3 linked regions of the Oryzias latipes genome follow. The protein of the gene in region 3 interacts with the protein of the main gene of each other region in a pairwise test. Links are inferred from orthologs where the notes say so. Each region holds a gene or a part of one and is shown on either strand. Other genes may lie near its edges.

What was found.
Region 1: the proteins of coiled-coil alpha-helical rod protein 1 (region 3) and hsbp1 interact in binary tests that used the Homo sapiens proteins (3 or more experiments, as listed by UniProt). The link is inferred for Oryzias latipes from reciprocal best matches to the Homo sapiens genes CCHCR1 and HSBP1.
Region 2: the proteins of coiled-coil alpha-helical rod protein 1 (region 3) and fsd2 interact in binary tests that used the Homo sapiens proteins (3 or more experiments, as listed by UniProt). The link is inferred for Oryzias latipes from reciprocal best matches to the Homo sapiens genes CCHCR1 and FSD2.

The regions. Positions count from the first base shown.
Region 1 is NC_019864.2:28,979,148-28,983,344, reverse strand, and holds hsbp1 (heat shock factor-binding protein 1), read left to right. Parts: upstream 1-1,360; 5' UTR 1,361-1,477; coding exon 1,478-1,522; intron 1,523-2,197; coding exon 2,198-2,264; intron 2,265-2,400; coding exon 2,401-2,525; 3' UTR 2,526-2,527; intron 2,528-2,610; 3' UTR 2,611-3,479; coding exon of another isoform or gene 3,480-3,582; 3' UTR 3,583-4,036; downstream 4,037-4,197. Other genes in the region: DNA topoisomerase I, mitochondrial, read right to left, coding at 3,480-3,582. UniProt on the Homo sapiens protein: Negative regulator of the heat shock response. Negatively affects HSF1 DNA-binding activity. May have a role in the suppression of the activation of the stress response during the aging process.
Region 2 is NC_019861.2:13,794,256-13,798,496, reverse strand, and holds the start of fsd2 (fibronectin type III and SPRY domain-containing protein 2), read left to right. Parts: upstream 1-1,404; 5' UTR 1,405-1,536; intron 1,537-1,572; exon of another isoform or gene 1,573-1,589; intron 1,590-1,642; 5' UTR 1,643-1,768; coding exon 1,769-1,933; intron 1,934-2,158; coding exon 2,159-2,254; intron 2,255-2,478; coding exon 2,479-2,712; intron 2,713-2,895; coding exon 2,896-2,918; intron 2,919-3,044; coding exon 3,045-3,166; intron 3,167-3,887; coding exon 3,888-4,052; intron 4,053-4,120; coding exon 4,121-4,241. Other genes in the region: whamm (WASP homolog-associated protein with actin, membranes and microtubules), read right to left, coding at 176-754.
Region 3 is NC_019872.2:16,054,595-16,058,712, forward strand, and holds the start of coiled-coil alpha-helical rod protein 1, read left to right. Parts: upstream 1-1,307; 5' UTR 1,308-1,443; intron 1,444-1,540; 5' UTR 1,541-1,549; coding exon 1,550-1,619; intron 1,620-1,837; coding exon 1,838-2,102; intron 2,103-2,184; coding exon 2,185-2,352; intron 2,353-2,480; coding exon 2,481-2,598; intron 2,599-2,815; coding exon 2,816-3,010; intron 3,011-3,235; coding exon 3,236-3,399; intron 3,400-3,501; coding exon 3,502-3,616; intron 3,617-3,778; coding exon 3,779-3,889; intron 3,890-4,118. UniProt on the Homo sapiens protein: May be a regulator of keratinocyte proliferation or differentiation.

The DNA of each region.
Region 1 (4,197 bases), on a different chromosome or scaffold from region 3:
GTGGCTCTCTAAGGGAGGGGTCTGCCAGTCTGCAGATAAGTTTAAACTGCAGACAGCATCTCGTCTTACTAACAGTTTCACTGCAGCTGCTGTGGACACCGATAGTTGAGTTACACAGATGACCTGCCTGCTTTCAAAACACCCTTAAAGCTTTAGCTCCATACAGCGTACCCAGGGACTTTCTCCCTTGTGTTGTGCCTACAAAAGCATGAGGTGCGCATGCCAAGAAAATACAGGGAGGTTACAAAGGAGGTGGGAACATTTTTTTAAAGTATAACTTGACAAAGATTTCATTCAGAAAATCGTGCCAAACTCAGCTAAGACGTCACCACTGCTGTAACTTAAGCAGCGCTTAATTTTGAAAAGACAAGAACAGCAGCAAGACATTAAACACCAAACCTCAGCATTATGGCAGGAGTTTGAAGAGCAAAAGTCACGTCTAAGTTACATATAAAGCTCAGTAATTGTTTGCTTCTGATAAAAAAAGTTACAGGTTATAATCAGTTAGACTAGGCACAAGCCTGGAGGAAGTTAAAACCCGTTCTAAGGGAACCTTTGCACAATTTATTCAGTACTGTGAGGCTTCTGCTATTTCCTTTTGTTTATGTGTTGAAAGTAAACACTAACAATGGAAGCTGAAATGTACCGAAGCTTCTTAAAAGAGGAAACTCAATGTTATGTAAGCGGAGCATATTTTCACGGGGTAGGGCCAGCAGTGCCTGCTTCTTCATGTCACTCAGGACTTCCACACACATCCATGCCGGAGCTGCTGCTCCTTTGGGACAAACTCAATACAGCTGCAGTCTCGTTAAAAAAAATAAAACTTCAAGAATGATGCATAAAAACCACGTGGTAAGCCTGAGTTTAAAGCAACCGTGAAGTTTCAGCCTATTGCACGCGTGCGTAAATCTGAACTTTACGCAAACAGCCGCATTTCTGATGCACAACAGCACCGTCAGTTTTCTGCTTTACTCACCGATCGCCTTCAGTCCAACAGAACTTTGCCGTCTCCCGCAGTGAATTCGGCGTGAAAACCCGCCGAGTTATCCCGCAGCTCCAACTTTCAAATCCCAACTCGCTGAGGAGGAGGAGAGACGTGTGCGCGCATCCCCACACACACACGGCTGCGCATAAACACACACAGGTCTAGAATTTCCGCTTCAATCTTACAGCTTCATGTTTTTCTTTTCATCTAAACATAAGAACGTCAACTGATTTTTCAAATGTGTTATTATTTTATAAATATACATACAACCTAATGTTTGTCGTCAATCCACAGCATTATTTGTATCGAAGGGTTCTGCAAATTCACCGATCTCAGCCCATGAGCAAATCTCGCGAGACTTGCCGTGTTGTGGCACAGCTGACTCTCCCGTGGGTGGTACAGGCGAGCAGAACCTTGAGGCTAAATAATCGAATATAAAGCGCCTTAAATTTAACCGCCGTGAAGGTCCGGACATACAGTTTTATTCACACCATGGCTGAAACAGATCCCAAATCAGTGCAGGACCTTACTAACGTGGTGAGTTTGGACCGTCAAGCTAGCTAGGACTAGCTATATGGATGTAGCTAGCAATGCTAACTATACTGCTAACAAATCAAATGCAGGTTGCATCTAAAGGAGTATTAAGTTTGATTCCTTTTTGCCTTTTCCCCCTTTGTTTTACCACTTGACACCTAAATTCTGATCGATCTCACTAAATATTTATTAGTTTATCACCATATAAAAGACATTGTTAGCTGATTAGCACTTCATCCTGACTAATTTAATTTACATAAATCTTCTTTAATCAGCATTTTCAATAACAAGTATATGAATTTACATTTTTATTGTAATAATAATAATCAGCAGTTCTCGCAACACCCAGGTTACTTCTGTTGGTGTGGATACCAATAGTGTTGCCATGGAAATGAACCAAAACTAAAGGTCTAAGTTGCACCTCTACCTACTAAATCACAGACTGTATTCGATTCTTCTGAAACATTAGGTGTTGATTAGTGTGTTGACTGGAAGATGAAGGTCTTAGCTCCTTTTTAGTGGTTTTTCTCTCACATGCAGCTATGTCCAGAGTGGGGTATGTGAGGAGGGGACTGAGAGGGCGGGAAGCGCTTTTGGGCCGCTCACAGCTTGATCTTGTACTGTTTCTTGTTGGGTTTGACAGATTAAAGTTTGTGGCCTTCTTTTGTTTTTCTAAAGGTCCAGACGCTCCTGCAGCAAATGCAAGACAAGTTCCAGACAATGTCAGACCAGATCATCGGGAGGAATATCCTTTTTTGAAAGCCAGAGCTCTGATGGTCGTCTTTACATTTCTCATACTCTACATCAAATGTCCCGGTGTCTTTTTCTACAGGACTCCAGTTTGCTTAGAAAAAAAAAAGATTTGCCTTAACAGTGTCCACTTGATGAGATGAGCACACGAATCGATGACCTGGAGAAAAACATTGCTGACCTGATGACCCAGGCTGGTGTGGAGGAGGCCGAGGCGACACCAGAGAAGCCGAAGGAGAGCCAAGGATCATCATGAAGGTGAAGAAAAACGGTCTACCCCTGTAGAATTTCTTTGTTCTGGTAGATTTCCTAATCAGCTTTATTTTCTGTCTGTCCCACAGGGTCAGAAATGATGTGAAGTCAAAGTTCTTTACCGATGACTTCTGATTTGGTGTGAAATGCTTTTTTTAAATATATATATATATAAAATGGTTTAACGGTTTACAGTTATGTCATGATGTGAGAAGTGGAGTAGTAGTAATCTGAATTAGTGTGACCTGCCCTTCAGAATTGTGTATTTGGTGCCCTGACCTGGACGTTCGAGCCGCCAGCGTCGGTTCTTCTCTCCGGTCCGTGCTTGGTAACGGGCCAGCAGAACCTCATCCCAACACGATGAACCGCGAACACCCGGAGCTCGCAGCGCAGCACTGTTGGCAACGAGATGCAGAATGCATTCCATTTCTGATTTTCTATTAAAGCGATGTACGGAGCAGTTTCTCCTTTTTGACCAGGTGCTGATAAATAGACCACGGTGCTAAGAGTTTCTACATTTTCTCTTATGAGGCAGAGTCGTCTGATGCCACAGACCTTTCATAACTACTGAATTCATCCGATCTGCAGGTTCAATGCTCTTTGTTGTTCATGAATTTGTTGGATTCTGACGTGAAATGAGCAGAATTGGAAATGTGCCACTTAACGAGTGTATAACTAAGATTTTGCCAAATTGAATGATTAAAACATCCCTTATTTTACCGCATGGTAGGAACCTTTATTCAAGTGTATGCAAACAAAATGTAACAGACCGTCTTCAAACCAAAAGTAGCAGTAAACATCCATTAAAGTGCAGCTTGATTATTGAACTGCAGTAGTAGAACCTCAGCACTTCATAAACATCCCCTCAATACAATATTCATTTACTCTACATGGGATAAAGCAAAAGGTCCCTGAGCTGCCACTTGGTGTGAGTTTATACGTCTGTGGAAGTTCAGTTTCAGAACTCGAAGTCGTCCTCCGTCATGTCGATGGCCCAGGCGAACTTTTCCCGTTGGGTTTTGTTGTAGATTTTTTCTATAGGCACCTCCATGTTCTTACACCTGATTAAAAACAAGAACAGAAAAGCGTTCAACCACAAACAACTGAGTATTACAACTGCAGAAGAAAAGTCTTAAACATACAATGGGGTGAAGAGAAACCTTGAGTTTATCGTCCTGAACGTTTTTCAAGCCAAACTTCACCAAATCGTTGCAGAAGAAGCATTTCTCATCTCTGGTTTAGCACCAAACCCCACTTTCCTTTGGTACAAGCAGCATTTCTATGAATTCTGAAGTCTTGGAACAATTGGCTGATCTCTATAGAAATCAGGTCGGTCACATGGTGAAACGTCAGATCAGTAAACTGGAGGATCTGTTGTCTGAATGAGATCAAGTGACCACAGATCCTAAGAGCCCAGAATCAAAGTTAACGGATGGAATCTGGACATTTCAACACTGCAGCCTAAACCAGAAACTTAACAAAATGTGTTCTTTACAATAAAAATCTATTAAAACATTTCTGTTTTTGGGTGTGTGTACGAGCTGGATTCGCAGTAAAATAAGGGTTTGAGTGACGGGGCTGTTCTGCCCACTCAGACGTTTCTGAGGATCGCTGACGACCATCAGACCGAGCTGGAGGTCTCAAGAGAAGAACCGCAGCAGCGGTGGAACTCTGCC
Region 2 (4,241 bases), on a different chromosome or scaffold from region 3:
GTTTTTAAATCATTCAAGCTTTAATCTAAAAAATAATAAGACTTTGAAACCAGACTCGTCCATTGATGACTAAAGCCAGCACAAAAACAGGAACTCTTCACAAACATTGTAGAAGTTTAAATGGGAACTGGCTCAGCTGTCATCCTCGCACGTGCCTGCTGGCTGCTGCCCTCACCTGTCTCAGCTGACTCTTCGCCCTCGACATCTCCTCCTGCATGCTCTTCTTCTTGAACTCCTGCAGGTTTTCGAAGTACTCCTCCACATCCCGCTCGTCTTGAGTGAACAGCGTTTCCAGAACAATCTTTCGGCCGCAGAAGTCGATCGCTGTGACAAAGTATTTCTCCAGTTTCCTGCACGGCGTGTCGAAGTCCCTCTCGGCGTCGTCGTGCTCCGGAGCTGACCTCCGGCTTTGAAACAGCAGCTCCCACAGATTGCCTTCTTCAAACGCAGACAAGTCTGGAAAGCACGCGCAAAGGATGTCCGCCACGCACGTGAACTGCTGGTGGATGTGCTTCAAGTCGCTGACAGAGAAGAGTCCAGCCCAGCTGAGCGGAGACTCGCCAGCATCGACTTCAGCTTTGCGTTTCTGCCGCTGCAGCGTTCGGTTGTGGCAGGTGACGGCGAACTTTGACTCGATGGCGTTCCACTCTACGATAAAGCCCAGCTTCACTGCCTCGTTCTCCTCGAATATATTACTTTTGACGGCCACCCAGCCGTCCAGACTGTCCAGCCGGTCAACCTCAACGCCGTCCATCCTAAAAACACGTTCATTTGGCCTCCGATGAACTGTTGGCTCTGTTTACAACGTCCGCCATTTCTATCCCGGAAGTAGCCTTCAGGTGCCACCCAAAATACTCGGAATTATTAAAGACCGAACGCTAATCATGCAGACAATGTTAAACGCAGTCATTTTAAGGCACTTTTTTGCTCAAATAAAAAACTTAAAAGTACAGGTATATTTTCACAAAATTGTATGTGGTTATTATAGAAGTAATTATACTTTTACGCTATTGTGCAACTTATTTTTACTTTAATATTAATTGTTTCAAGTTGTGTACCTGTTTCATGTTTACAAAACAGTTAGAATATCACATACCTGATAACAATATACGAAAATACGAAGTTTAACCCCCAAAAAAGTATAAAACAAGAGTCTGTATGTTTGATTTGGACTTTTACAATGACCTAGAATGCCTCATGACGGCATTGACTAACTTTCACCTTTGACCTTTAAAGTCACATGCTTGGGGATTTTCCTTACATCAGACTCAAACTTATGGAGTTATCAAAACTGTTTGTGCTATATTTTTGTCTCAAATAACAAAACACAGAAATGAAACTGTGTTATTCACAAAACTGTATTTGATTTTCCCTGAAATAATAAATGTTTTGCAGTCATTTGGTGTGCTTGTGACATCTGAGCAACATGAGTCCATTCTATTTTTGTCCCAGCTTCTGGTTGAGACTTTTGGAGACTTTGCTTGTCAGACACTCGGCTGCCTATTTAAAAAGAGACTGAATCAGTCAGTTATTCTGGTAATTTTAGTATAATCTTATTTACTATTTTTTAGACCAGCAGGACCTACAAAGTGTGTTTAAAATGAAGTTCTTGTGTTTTTTGTTCTGCACTTTCTTGTTATAGATGTATAAATTGTGGATCTGTGCACTGGTGCAGATTTAAATCGAATGGACCCGAGTGAAGTCTGAAGATGGAGGCTGGATGGGATTGAAGCCAGGCACAAGGACATTTAGCTGAAACTCTACAAAAATGGAGACACATAAAGGAGTTTCAGATCGAGGAGGAAGGACCTTCCAGAGATTTTCTGTCGACACCAATGAGTCCCTTCATTTTGAACCCTGTGAGGACAGCTCTCCGTCTCCCACCGGAATAGAGCATGATGAAGATAATGTGTTCATTAAAGACGAAAATGAGGTAAAAATCCCTAGAATGAGTGTGTTTGTACATTTATTGTATTTAAAGCAGCATGAAAGAATAATTACATTTATTTAAAAAAAATGAAAGCAGTGCACAATTCCACATTTGTTTGTTAGCTAACCAAATAAAAGCCCTGGCAGCAAAAGACTGACTCATAAGTCATGTTACTGGTTTGAACATAAAACAGAAAAAGCTGGAGGCATGACTTGCATTTGCTTTTAGAGTGAAATGACCTCAATCAGGAACCGATTGCAAGGCAAGGTTGCTGAGATGGAGAACTTTGCTGGACACCTGGAGGAGATCTTTCTTACTGTTGAGGTACGATGACAGTCAGGTCTGCTTAAAAAATTAATAAATAAATGTAGTTTAAAAATGTTTCTTCTCCCCACCATTCATGGGGGCTTGTCATTACTTTTGCTACTCAACCTTTGATTTATACATTTATTGTTACGTAAGTGTGTACGTCTACCCTTCTGTGCTTCCTACTCACACACTTGGGGTATGACCCATCATTATTCGTATCTCTGGGCTGGTACATGCAGGAGAACTTTGGCCGTCAAGAGCAGCACTTGGAGCAGCACCACAATGACGTGCTGCAGACGCTGTCCCAGCGCCACAATGAGAGGGCTGCAGGCCTGGTGGAGGAGAAGAAGAGTAAGATGGAGGCTCTGTACAGTCAGCTGCTCTCCTGCGGTCAAGCACTGGATGCCTCCAAGGAGCTCATTGAGACAGCCCAGGAGATCTACCGCACGCCAGACAAGAGGGTGTTCCTGAAGGTACCTGTGTTTTAGTTGTTTCATTTTAATTTTCTAAAGTAGATGTTCAAAGTTGTGTTCGTCTTTAGACACACAATGCCTATTTTTGCTTTTAGGAAAACACACAGTCATTCCATATGCACAAACCACTCATTTAGAATTTTCAATTTAAATCCTGTCCTTTTGTTTCATATATTTTGACAGACAGTTATGCCCATCATTAAAAGGTAACGTGGATGATGCTCAGTGAGTATGCATGGTGTGACGTGGATTCAAAGGGATTTTTGTGTTATTAAACCACACTCTTAGAATTGGGATTGTAGTTTTATACATTGCCTGTGTGTGTTTTGCAGAATTGAGATGTTTGCTAAGGAGAAGGTTGATCTCACATTGTCCACAAAGCTTGACTTTGAAACACCCCAAGCTGATCTGTCTGATGTGAAAACCATGATGGACTCCGTCAATGCCGTCCCAGGTCTGTTATGACCACTTCACCCATTCACTCACTGGCCACATTAGGTACACCTTGCTATTATCAAGTTGGACAGGAGGGGCACCCGGTGTGGTCTTCTGCTGCTGTAGCCCATCTGCCTCAAGGTTGGACGTGTTGTGCGTTCAGAGATGTTCTTCTGTACACCTCAGTTGTAACCAGAGGTTATTTGAGTTACTGTTGTCTTTCTATCAGCTGAAACCAGTCTGGCCATTCTCCTCTGACCTCTGACATCAAGAAGGCACTTCCGCCCACAGAACTGCATCTATCTGGATATTTCTTCTTTTTCAGACCATTCTCTATAAACCCTAGAGATGGTTGTGGGTGAAAATCCAGGTAGATCAGCAGCCCGTCTGGTACCAACAACCATGCCACGTTCAAAGTCACTTCAATCACATTTCTTCTCCATTGTGATGCTCGGTTTGAACTGCAGCAGATCATCTTGACCATTTCTACATGTCTCAATGCACCAAGTTTCTACCATGTGATTGGATGATTAGAAATGTGTGTAGAGGACCAGCTGGACAGGTGTGCTTAATAAAATGGCCAGTGAGTGTATACACACATGTGCATCTATCAAAAAAATGTGCGGAACTCTGGTTTCCATACAAGAACTAAAAAAGATTGTTGGTCCGACTTGAGTTTATCTTTTAGGGCATTACACGAACAACATGTTAATGTTAGTATTTTTTACACATAAAAACAGCTCCATCTGCTCCGGTAATCAACCCCCAGATGTCCAACTCAGCCACGCAGACGTCTTTGCGTGTTTGCTGGAGTTTATTCTCTGACGACACGGTGGAGTACTATGACCTTTACTACAGACCCGTGCTGGAGGACACGCTAGCAGACGGCTTCTGCCAACCACATGGTACCAGGTGGTTAAAGATCTAATGACCCTGGAGACAAGCTGGAGACTAAATGTGTGTTTTTCTATAGTAAGCACAGTAAAAGTGAAGGAGACTCACTGCACGGTGACAGATCTGCTCCCTAACGCTCAGTATGAGCTCTGGGTAACAGCGACCAACACCACAGGCATCAGCCCAGCCAGTGAGAAGGC
Region 3 (4,118 bases):
AATGAAGTATGAAATGTTTCCTATACTTCGTTTTTGCCAGTTGACCATGTAAAGCAGAAATATTAGTTGAAAATTGAGCCTATCACTGTCTTTTTCAAACACTTACCCTTAACTTTCCTTTGTGTCCAGAAGCAGGCCATGAGCACAAGCTTTTGCCTTAATGTTGCAATAACCAGAACCTAATCTTTTATCATCTGTGACAAGTCTTTTGAGGTCAAATTTCTGTTTTCTGATGTTTTTTTTTCCTTGTTGGTAGTTACTTTCAATCCCACTTCCCCCATACTTTATTGTTAAGATCTTTCTGTGAAGTATAATGCTTTAAATGGGTATTACATCAATAAACATACACAGTCTGCATGGTAAAATATTGTGCAGTACTCCCTCTAATCTATTGCTTTTTCAATATTTATCAGATTCACACCCGACCATTCTTATTGTTGCATAATCTTTCTTGGCATGAGTTCTCTGCTTTGTTGAGACAACTGTGTATCCATTTTCACAATAATTGACATCCTATCATTGTCACCTTGAATCAACATTTGATCCTTTATGTAAAGCACCAACATCAACATTTCTTTTGACACCATAAACAGATTACATCAGATTAAAATTTAATGAACCCCTGGGGAAAGTGGGTCAGAGCTGCAGCAACAGAGTAGAGGATTTAATATACTACAGGTAAGAGCTGGTTTGAACAAACATGAATAGATGCCGCAGATGCTTGAGAAAAATGCAGCACAAAATTCTTTAGATAGATAGTCTTTATTGTCATTGCAACATTGTACAACGAGATTAAGGTGCAAAAATAGTCAAATGGTAAAAAATAAAATCACAATAAATAGTATAAAAACAATATAAAATACAGCAGACATAACCCACACATGCTTGGCATTTACTGTGTCAAGCAGACAGAAACATATGATAAACACAATTTATGGATTTTCATCATCACATTTTTAGAGCAGAACTGTTCAAATGGCAGGAAGAATAAGACTGATACAACATTTTTAAAATATAAATGTATGTTAGTAGTACAGTTACAATTCTGCAGCTTTGCTGTTAAATGAAGGAACACAACCATCTAAGTAATTCTGTATCCAATTATCTAGAACACAATTTAGTTTTATTTTCTTTTTCTAACTATTTTTTAGCCTGCAATGTTATTTTTTTTTAAAAGTCTGTGGAGGAGCAAAAAGTATGTAAACACGGACGAAAAACCTTTAAGTCAATATTTAGGGCAAAATCACGCAATCGCCTCAACCCCCCCTTCCATTTTCCCATGATGCAGTGCGCAATTTTCGTATTTTTCTAAATGTTTTAAAAAAAAAATCAATACATTTCATGTATCTTATTTTACTTTTTTTTTAATTAATTAAAAGTGTTAGAAATTAGCAAACTGTGCACGTTTATAGTTACTGCAAAACATTTGTAACAGTAATTAAGGTAACGAAAAGTGACGAAAAGACTCATGGGAACGTAAACAGTGTTCTCCTTGTTTTTGAAGGCACAATTTTGACCGTCTCCTGTCTTTTTCTACCAGCCGTTAAACATGGAGAGGAAAAATATCGTCAAAGAAAAGCTAATAGTTCCTACGGACTTTATTTCACCGGCGCATTTAAGTAAGTTAAAGTTTGACAGCTTGAACAAGTCGAAGTAACGTTAGCTTTTAGACAGTGTAGCTAAAAATGTCTAATTAAGTTCGGTGGTAAACTAAGTTAAAGGGCCCTTCTTACTATCATATACCTGTAATGTAAGCATGTCTTTGTAATTTTATACGCTAAAAAAGCTAATGGAACCAAACACACAGTAAAATACACGTACTGCTTTTGTTATTTAGCCAATGTCCAGGGGGACCTAATGCCTCCGTCACACTTTGAATCGGGTGTTCAATCATCTGGAGCCCACAGAGGGGTTCTAGTAGGTCCTAAAACTTCACCTCAGACTACCTGGAGGAACCCAGTTCCGATATCAGGACCCAGGGATCCAAGTCTTGCCGGTCCATGCTTCACCTTTCCTCAACGTGAGGACAATCGGGAGATGATCCTGCTACAAGGAGACTTCTTAAGAGCAAACGAAGCTGGGGGTCAGCCTGCAGCACACAGGTTGAGGTTTATTTCTGAGTTGTTGGTCTGAAAGGAAATTTTAATCTTCTCTGTGTCATTAAGATTATTTCCTTGAAAACAGATTTGGAGAAAAAGGAGAGCAACAGTACACATGGGAGTCACAGCACCAGCTTGGGATGGAAAAACACAAGGCTGAAGCTGAGAGGTTAAAGGGTCAGGTGGAGGCCCTGAAAGAAGCTGCAGAGAAATACAGAGAAGAAATGAAAGATAGAGAGATCACCCTGTGCAGGTATCACACTTTTTTCACTCTGTTTTGGTGTCTGATTATTTGATTTTCATATTTTTCTGCACAGCTTACCTCTGAAGAGTATATTAAAAACATGTCAGGATGAACTTGACATGATCTTTGTGCAACAGGTGCACCCATGAGCTGGAAGTAGCTCGAGAAAATGCATCAAAGGCGAAAGCAGAACTCAGCCAAGTCAGGGAGGAGCTTAGCCTCAGCAGAGGACAGGAGGAGATGATGAGGTTGCGGGTAATGATATTTACTCACAGAACATTTTATGTCCACACTGACTTACACAAGAGTCGCCCCTGGAGTAACTGACATTGTCTAACTCCTTTTGTCAGTTTGTGATCTGGCATTTTCTCCACAGATTGCAGTGTCCCTTTTAGCTTTTAGGAACATCCTGGAGTGTTATATTCTCACAAACGCTGAGTCTTCAGTCTTTTCATGTTTTTGTGTTTTGCAGCTGGAAAAAGTGAAAGCAGAGTGTGGAGAGGAGATAGCCCAGCTGAGGAGATCTTTGGTAAAAAGCAAACAGGAATCCAGAGAGCTTGCTCTTAAGGTTGAAATGAGTAGGCTGCAGGCTGAAGAGGAGGCGAAAGAGCAGGCTCTCAGACTCTCCAAACAACTGGAGAAAATGAAGGAGATGCAGGAGGCACAGGTTTGTGGCGCAGCCTGTCGCAGCAAGATTTTATAAACCTTTTATTTACTGATTTTATTGACCTTCTGTCAAACAAAGGGTTCACTTCCAAGAACTCATGTCAGCTGGCATCAGTTCTGCTGAACTCTTGATGTTTCCTGCAGTAAAGCAAGTGTAGTGAGACCCTTTGCTTGAGTGGGATCAGTTTGGATTCATTTTTCTTCTTTTTTCTTTCCTTACTTCCAGTTGCAACATTTAAACGCATCGCACTATACAGAGTTGGACACAGCAAGACAAGCAAACTCTGAATTACAGGACAGGCTCCAGTCGATGTCCACAAAAGTGCTGCAGTTACAGAGCGCTCTGATGGAGGCGTCAGCTGAAAGGGACGAACTGAAAGAACATTTAAGGTGCAGCTTTGCATTTCAAGCACTATGTGTTCACATTCGCTAATGTTCCTTAGTTTCTTTTTCTTTCACTGCTTCTTTATTAGTGTGTATTGTTACTTTCAGTCACGTGGGACGAGCCTTCGAGACCCAATCTGCGACACTGCAGAGCCTCAGAAATTACATCGGCCAGCTCACCCCAGAGAGAGGAGAGAAGGAACAATTAAAGGAAACTATTGAGGTTCAGACAAAATAAACTGTACTGATCAAAGACATCGGCAGTAAATTGCAAGCGCTTCTGTTCACCACACCATAGAAAAAGAAAACATTAAGCAAAAGAGAAACTCATTTTTAAATTCAAAACCGTGCAGTGTTTCTGCTTCTAATCTTGTGCATTTTACAGAAGCTAAACAAAGAGAAGGCGGCTCTTCAGACGACCACTGAGCTTCTGACTGTCAGACTTAATTCTGTAAATGAGATTCTCACCCTCCAAGAGGAGAAGCTGGTTAAGAAGGTGAGTGTTTCAAGATAGAAGTCTTTGTTTATTACAGCCAAGACCTCGTCTTTCTGGCTAAGCTACTGATTTCCCGTTTAAACATTAGGCTGCTTTTATACATTAATGTATACAATTTATAGAAAATTGTCTAAAGACTAATCTACATCATAATCACTGACCCAAACACATTTCCCAACTTTACTTTTAGTTCATTCAGAAAACCATCATCTAAGGAAATGGGTCACAA